2 linked regions of the Coturnix japonica genome follow. The protein of the gene in region 1 purifies or fractionates together with the protein of each later gene. This does not show direct contact. Links are inferred from orthologs where the notes say so. Each region holds a gene or a part of one and is shown in the gene's direction. Other genes may lie near its edges. The genes, in order: ACAD9 and TIMMDC1.

Region 1 (3,714 bases):
TCTGCAGCCAGAATTGTGGTTGTGGAAAGGGAAGGACAGAAATGAGTCTAACAGGAAACGTTCAAGGAAAGTCTGGCCAGACCGTGCCCAGAGTCCCAGAGAATGGCCAGGAGGTTTCCCAGGCCCAGGTTACGTAGCACAAGGTGCTGGGAGGGCACAGCAGTGCTGCTGCAGACATGGCTTCTCTTCATTGCATCCGAGCAGCGTGGTACCCTGTGAGGGTAATAGTGTTCACTAAGATGAGACTGTTGGGTATAGACTGAAAATTTAAAAGAAAAATCAAATCAATATTTGTGCTTCCAGGTAGAATTTTTGCCTTCCTCCTCTGTAACAGCAGAGACGAGCTGCAGCACCAGTATAAACACGTATGCCTTTCTCCTGTGCTGTACAGGACAGATATTTCTCTGTGTCTGGGGGCTTTTTCTGGGCTGTTTCCTCCAGCTCATTCCTCTGAAATCCAGCACGTTTTCTTGTCATTTTTCAGTAGAGAAATGTCGCCCTTTTTTATTTCCACAGGTTGCCATGAATATCCTGAACAGTGGAAGGTTCAGCATGGGTAGTGCATCTGCTGGAGTGATTAAAAAGTTGATAGGTGAGTGAATGAGGTGTGCTGGATTACTAGATGCCATGGGGGGGAAAAAAATTGATCTGTGTAAGGTATATTTATCAGTAACATTAGTCTTGATCAGAACATCACTAATGTCAGTCATTATATACCTTGATGTATAATTTTACACTAATTTTACTTTGAATTTTGATTTAAAAACTTGTAGAACGCTGAAGATTCTGCCTCCTCTTATGAACACAATCAGGTTCAAAGTTTTCAGGCACTAAAATTGGCTTCTACCAATAGTTACCCAAAGTGCTAACGGGCATCTGTCAAAAAAAGTAATTAATTAGCATTAAAACGGGCTTCCTCTACATGCAGGTATGGAGGGTGGGTCTTGGTTAAAAGCCTTTGGCAGGCATTCCAGACTCAATCACACAGTCGTTCTTAGGGGGATTTTCAGTGTGTGCTGTCAAGGAAGCAGTGGGGGTTGTTCAGTCAATAGAAAAGCACTGTTTCCATACAGTAGGGATGATACACCACAGCAATGAGTGTTGTGCTATGCTGATATTATTGCTTTGTGGCTTTTTTGTTTGTTTTTAAGAAATGACAGCGGAGCACGCCTGCACCAGGAAGCAATTCAACAAGAATCTGAGCGAATTCGGATTAATTCAGGTAACTAAAAAAAATGGAAACCCTTCACCTCCGTGCTTTGTTTTGCTGAGTGCTGTGACAGACGGTGCTGTGTGTAACAGATCAAACACAAGAGGTGTTCAATTTGTGTCAATTCAGGGCAGATTTCTGTACATTGATCTTTGTAATTTTGAGAAGCAAAAGTACTTGAAGAGTTTTCATGAGTGCTTTGCAGTACTGCTTTTATTAGATATTATTGGATAATATGTCAAAGCATAGGAAGAAAAACTCCTCAGTTTCAGCATTGTTGCACACTTGGCTACGTGTTCTGCATCAGCGTGTGACTGCTTTCATTCCTATCTGGCAGGAGAAGTTTTGCTTAATGGCCGTGAAGGCGTATGTAATGGAGAGCATGGCTTATCTCACAGCAGGAATGATGGACAGGCCGGGCATCCCAGACTGCTCTGTGGAGGCAGCCATGGTCAAGGTAATTCATCTTAGGAAGGACTTGCTGTCAGCACTGAGCTAATAAAGACAGACGCCTTCCTTGATCTTCAGTCTATGTTACAAACTGCGTAGAGGCTCAGGTGATACTTTTGGATGTACATACAAAAACATCAGCTTGATTTAAAAATTAGAAGACTTTTTTTGTTTCCCATACATTACAGATTACTGTACATTCAGGCTTGTATCCCCACACAAAAGACAGGCCGCATACAGCACACTTGGAGTGTCAGGGTCCTCTTGAATTCTCTTTTATGCAATTTCACACACAAAGAAAGTGTTTAAGTTTTATTTCCAGCTGCAGACCTGATTAGGGAGCTCCTAATTCTGGCTTGGACACAGAATCAGTTGCAGATTTCACTCAGTGAGAGCCAGGCCCACTCAGGAGTTCGACCTTTTGAGGCGTCCCTGCAGCACACAGGTGGGTGCTGTTGGCTGGCAGTGCAGCCTGAAGAGAAGCTGGAAATTCAGCCCTTGTGCTGCTCTTTGCTGTGTGCTGAGTTCAGAACGTGTGTGAAATGGGCCAGTGTCAGGTACTCAGAAACACCAGCTGTGTTTGTTCTTTCAGCTTGTGGCTCTGAGCCCTATGGAAATGTGGCCTTATTAGGCAGTTTACGTGGACTGCAAGTAGAGGAGGTGTTCATTGTTCAAGTAACTTTTCACTTTGACACCCTGAGGCACAAGAACATTATTTCATGAAAACTTTATGCAGGGCTGCTGTGGAAGCGATACGAAGTGTTACAGCAATGGCACAGATAGAATCCCTCCAAATTCAGTGTTACATCCTGTTTGAACTTGCAGTATAGTAACAGAGCTATGTCGTCTGCTCTTACTGTGTGAACCATGGTGACTGAATGCTGTTAATGGCAGGTGTTCAGTTCTGAAGGTTTGTGGACTTGTGTAAGCGAAGCTCTGCAAATTCTTGGAGGCCTCGGCTACATGAAGGAATACCCCTATGAGCGCTATCTCAGAGACTCCAGGATACTGCTCATTTTTGAGGCAAGTATGAATGAATGTGCTGTTTGTTTTCACCACCACACGCAGCTTCTGTAAACCTGAAGTGTGCAGGACGTTTAAATCGGCCTTGATCTGGTTAGATCTGAAGTCTGTAATAGTTGGAATAAGCCTGAAGAACTAATCTTGCTTTCTTTGGTGATATAGGTAGTATTTGTCCTATAATAAACTTGGAGTTGATGGGTTTTATTGATTAACCTACATGTGATGGTTATCTTGTTCTGCTGCTGTCTCAAAACAATGGTACCTCACAAGCACAAATGCACCGTAGAATATTGCCAGGAAAAGCAGAGTACGTCATTTATGTAGGCAGTGAATAGTGTTGAAGCTACAACAAAATCCATATCAGCACAGCCAGGCCTTGGGGATACTGAACATACTTTGTACTCGGCAGTGACTGCAGTGTGTTTGTTTGCAGGGAACAAACGAGATCCTGCGGATGTACATTGCTCTGACGGGTATGCAGCACGCAGGCAAAATCTTAACTGACAAACTTAAGTATGTTCTTATTTATTGCTATTAGTTTTTAATGAACTAAATAAACAGTGATAATTTTAACTGTATGCAAGGGGGAAATGGTTGGAAAACTGCTGCATTTCCCAATATATTGTCTGACGGGCAGTTCAACGTACAGCTGTCTTTTCTTTTTAGTTGGCTGTATTTTCTATGTTTGGGACTCCTGCCTGACTGTATCTTACCTTGTATTTGCAGCTTGTGTATAATTATAATAAGGCCTAGTGACCTCAGATTTTATACCAAGTGTTGCTGGTCAGCCAGCTGTAGCATCTGCAGTGCATACGTAGGCTGGTGTCTGCAGTTCATTGCATTTAGAGCAGGAATGGAGTGTGGGCTGTGCTGAATGCTCCTAAGGCTGGGTGGTCCTCCAGACTTCATAGTAAAATGGACCAAAAGGCTCCAAACACTGCAGATATCTCGATAATGCGCTTACCCTGAAACTTCCCTCGCATACCAGCCAATGCATCCCATTGTCCTTTACTTCTAGAGAAATCAAGAAA
Region 2 (3,914 bases), on another chromosome or scaffold:
AGTTTGTATTTCTTGTGGTATTTTTTTTTTCCCCTCTTTGACAATATTTTTAGGGCACCTCAGTGGAATCTGTGAAATACACCCATCCAAGTAGCCGAGTCATGTGTGACGGTGACTGAAAACTCTTCCTGAATGATGGCTTGCGTGAGCTGGTGACTCCTCAGCCTTTTTCCTTAGCTGCTTTCCTAGAACAGCCATGAGTAACTGCCTCCACTCCTCCCTCACAGGATGGGCCTGCACTGGCAGGGAGGTGACTCCTAGAAGTGATGGGACTTCCCTCAGGGCTGCCGTTGAGATAAAGGGTGGGATGTGAAGGGTGTTCTGCACAGTGCCTGTAAGCACGTGTAAGATGTACTGCCATAGCACTGGAGACCCACACTTCAGGGTGAGCCCTTGCACAAATACAGATATTTGGAACCTCCCAACGACTTACAACAGTAAGAATCAAGACGGTAGAACCAGAAGCTGGCACAGGTCTCAGCGGCCTGTGATGGTGGCACTGCTGCTGGGCCAGATCTGCTAATGGGAAGCACAAGCGAAGACCCAGGTGGTGTGTCATGTTCATGGCATCATAGAACTATTTGGGTTGAAAGGGACCTCGCAGCCCACCCAGCCCCAACCCCCTGCCATGGGCAGGGCTGCCCCCACCAACTCAGGCTGCCCAGGGCCCATCCAACCCTGAGTGCCTCCAGGGATGGGGGCAGACACAGACACCATGCGATAGAAAATTGGCAGCCAACACGGGAACAAAAGCCATGGGCCCTTCTCTTCCCTTCCACACACAGAAGCTCGCTCACTCTGCAAGGGGTTCCCAAGCCCCACCGTGCCCCACAGAATCACACAGAATCACAGCATGACCCAGGTTGGAAGGGACCTCAAGGATCATGTAGTTCCAACCCCCCTGCCTGGCAGGGCCACCAAACATACGCCTTTACTAGATCAGGTTGCCCAGGGCCCTGTCCAACCTGGTCTTGAACACCTCCAAGGACGGGGCATCCACAACCTCCCTGGGCAGCCTGTTCCAGGGCCTAACCACTCTCCTAGTAAAGAACTTCCCCCTAACATCCAACCTAAATCTTCCTTCTTTTAACTTAAAGCCATTTCCCCGTGTCCTGCTATTGTCAGCCCTTTCGAAGAGTTTACTCCCCTCCTGGGTGTAGGTTCCCTTCAGGTATTGAAAGGCTGCAATGAGGTCACCCCGCAACCTTCTCTTCTCTAGGCTGAACAAACCCAACTCCCTCAGCCGTGGAGCTGGGGGCGCTGCGGTGCTCGCTCAGCGCCGCCGCCGGGAAGGTTATGGCGGAGGGGCTGGGAGCCGGGGGCACCTTCGGCCGCCCCACGCCGCCGCCGCAGACGGGCTGGGAGCGGCTCAGCGAGCTGTGGCGGCGCGAGTGAGGGCCGGGACGAGCCGGGACGAGCCGGGGCGGCGGGAGGGACGGAGGGAGGGGGTTCCGGGTGCGGGGCCTGGCGCTGCCCCGCGGAGCGAGGAGCCGAGGCCTGTCCGAGCCGCGCGGCTCCGCGCTGAGCCGCGGCGTTTCCTTGCAGCGAGTTACAGCGGTACCCGGAGGAGACGATCAACATCATCAAGTCGGCGTTCACCGGGGGCCTGGTCGGCTGGCTGTACGGCGGCCTGCCCGCCTTCCGCCAGGCGAGGAGGGCCTTCATCGAGGGCAGCCAGGGAGACGTGTTCCACAACCGCGCCGATGCGGTGGTACGGGGCCGGGGGCGAATCGCGGGGAGAGCTGCCTGCGGCCCTCGGTGCTGAGCGGGGGTGGTGGAGGGGATGATGTGCAGGCAGAAGCACGATGGGGTGGAGTGGTGTCGGTTTGCCTCTGCGAGTTAATTGTTGGGGTGCCTGTTCAGGTGTAAACATAGACTCCCATTCCTCAGGAAGGGATCGGCTTTATTTACCCTTAGGGGGTGCCATTCCCAGCGCCTCGAGTTGGGTCGGTGCCGCTCGGCAGCAGCCCGCAGCACAGTGGGATGATAGTGAAGGGGAGCTGGGCTGCCGACTGTAACCCTTCTCCTCCTCCCCACAGCAATCTGCGCACCGTGCCGGGCTCAGGGGCTTCATCCGCTACGGCTGGCGCTGGAGCTGGAGGGTGGCCACCTTCGTGGCCATATTCAAGTAAGTGTTCACTTTGTGGCAGCATTTTTCTCTTGGAGAGGGTTACAGTGCACCGGCTGTTCTGGAACTGCTTTCTTTGGAGTCCAGCGGAGGGCCACAAAGATGGTGAAGGGCCTGGAGCATCTACCCTGTGAGGAAAGGTTAAGTGAACTGTGTTTAGCCTTGAGAAAAGAAGGCTGAGAGGGGAACTGATCCAGGTCTATAAACATCTAAGGTGTGGGAGGCAAAGTGGCGAGGCCAGACTCTTCAGCAGCGTGTGGAGACAGGATGAGAAACTGGAGCATAGGAAGTTCTGCATGAATGTGTGCAAGAACTTCTTTACAGTGAGGGTGACGGAGCACTGGAACAGGCTGCCCAGGGAGGTGGTGGAGTCTCCTTCTCTGGAGATATTTAAGACCCACCTGGACGCCTACCTGTGTGACGTGGTGTAGGGAGCCTGCTTTGGCAGGGGGGTTGGACTCCACGATCTCTAGAGGTCCCTTCCAACTAATTTTTCTCCTTTTTGTTACATCTTATCACCTTGTGTACAGTGTTGTGTACAGTGGCAATACTTACAGTTTGTAAGTAATCACAACTAGGAACATCACCATGCCCAATGCCACAGTATCTTTTGCCACAGTATCTTTGCTTGAGTGCAGTCAGGATGCTGTTTGCTTTCTCTTCCAGAACTTCTAATGCTTTAGATTTTTCAGGACTAGTCGTGCATTGTCATTGCCATCCACCAGATGTCTCCCATGCAAGCAAATGCATCGTCCTTTTCACTGCCCCTTTGTGAAAGGCTCTGAAGGGAGGCGCTGCTCAGTGTTACTTGTTTCTGTATGGAATCATAGAATGTCCCATGCTGGGAGGGCTCCACAAAGAATCATTGAGTCCAACTCTGGGCTCTACACTCAACTCCCTAAACTCTGGCTGTGCCCACTACCCTGGGCAGCCTGTGATGTGCCCCCCACCCTAAAATCTAAGTTGAAGGTTTTGTGCTGCAGTTAAATACATGTCCAGTTTTGTGGTTTACAAACAGGTTGTTAGTTCCACATTTTGGAAGGGTTGAAGTTACATTGGTAGAGAGAGAGATGGTGGAGGTGGTGCTCCTAATCCAGCAGGGGACCTTCTGCTTCAGGAGCGGGTAGTCCTGGTGACACCTCGGGTACGATTCAGCCCTAGTGGTAGCTGTACGGTTGAGAGGATCATTGTATTGCTCAATCCCTTTTATTCTTGAATATAGGATGAATTAAAAAACTAAAAAATTGAGTATTTGATTTACAAGAAAGGAAAAAAGACTATCCCAAAGTAGTACTCCCCAACCTCTGGCTGTCCAGCTGCATGCGGTAAAGTTGTGGAAATAAAGCACTTGTGGTTGGCATGTGTGTATGTGTGTGCTCTGGCCAGGCTGGTAGCAGGGCACAGAGGTACCCTGAGGGTTGGCTTAATGAAATCCTGCTTCTTTTCAAGCGGTGTCTTTTTCATGTGTAACTGCCTCTTTATGCCTCACCCCTACAGCATGGTGAGCACCGGTCTGTCCGTGTACCGCGATAAAACCACCATCAGTAATTTTGCTTCAGCAGGAGGTAAGACTGGGTACTTTTATCTGTGTGCTTTACTTTATCAGTGTCGTTAAGCAGAGGTCATAAATAGAAAATCATAAGCAGGAATCTGTATCTCTTGAATATGAGCAGGCCTGTGGCATCGTTGCACCCATTTTGCTGTTATGCTGGCTGTCTTTGGAACTTTGCTCCATGGTGTAGTTGCTGTCTGCCTTTATTTGTAACACACAATCAATGCATTATCT

Evidence for each region.
Region 2: the proteins of ACAD9 (region 1) and TIMMDC1 purify together in Homo sapiens (affinity purification with mass spectrometry; 3 studies listed by BioGRID and IntAct, counting the BioPlex papers as one, with this or other methods). This does not show direct contact. The link is inferred for Coturnix japonica from reciprocal best matches to the Homo sapiens genes ACAD9 and TIMMDC1.

The regions. Positions count from the first base shown.
Region 1 is NC_029527.1:3,505,430-3,509,143, reverse strand, and holds part of ACAD9 (complex I assembly factor ACAD9, mitochondrial), read left to right. Parts: intron 1-516; coding exon 517-592; intron 593-1,151; coding exon 1,152-1,222; intron 1,223-1,547; coding exon 1,548-1,667; intron 1,668-2,554; coding exon 2,555-2,683; intron 2,684-3,116; coding exon 3,117-3,196; intron 3,197-3,701; coding exon 3,702-3,714. UniProt on the Homo sapiens protein: As part of the MCIA complex, primarily participates in the assembly of the mitochondrial complex I and therefore plays a role in oxidative phosphorylation.
Region 2 is NC_029516.1:82,792,568-82,796,481, reverse strand, and holds the start of TIMMDC1 (complex I assembly factor TIMMDC1, mitochondrial), read left to right. Parts: upstream 1-1,248; 5' UTR 1,249-1,296; coding exon 1,297-1,391; intron 1,392-1,545; coding exon 1,546-1,711; intron 1,712-2,039; coding exon 2,040-2,128; intron 2,129-3,625; coding exon 3,626-3,693; intron 3,694-3,914.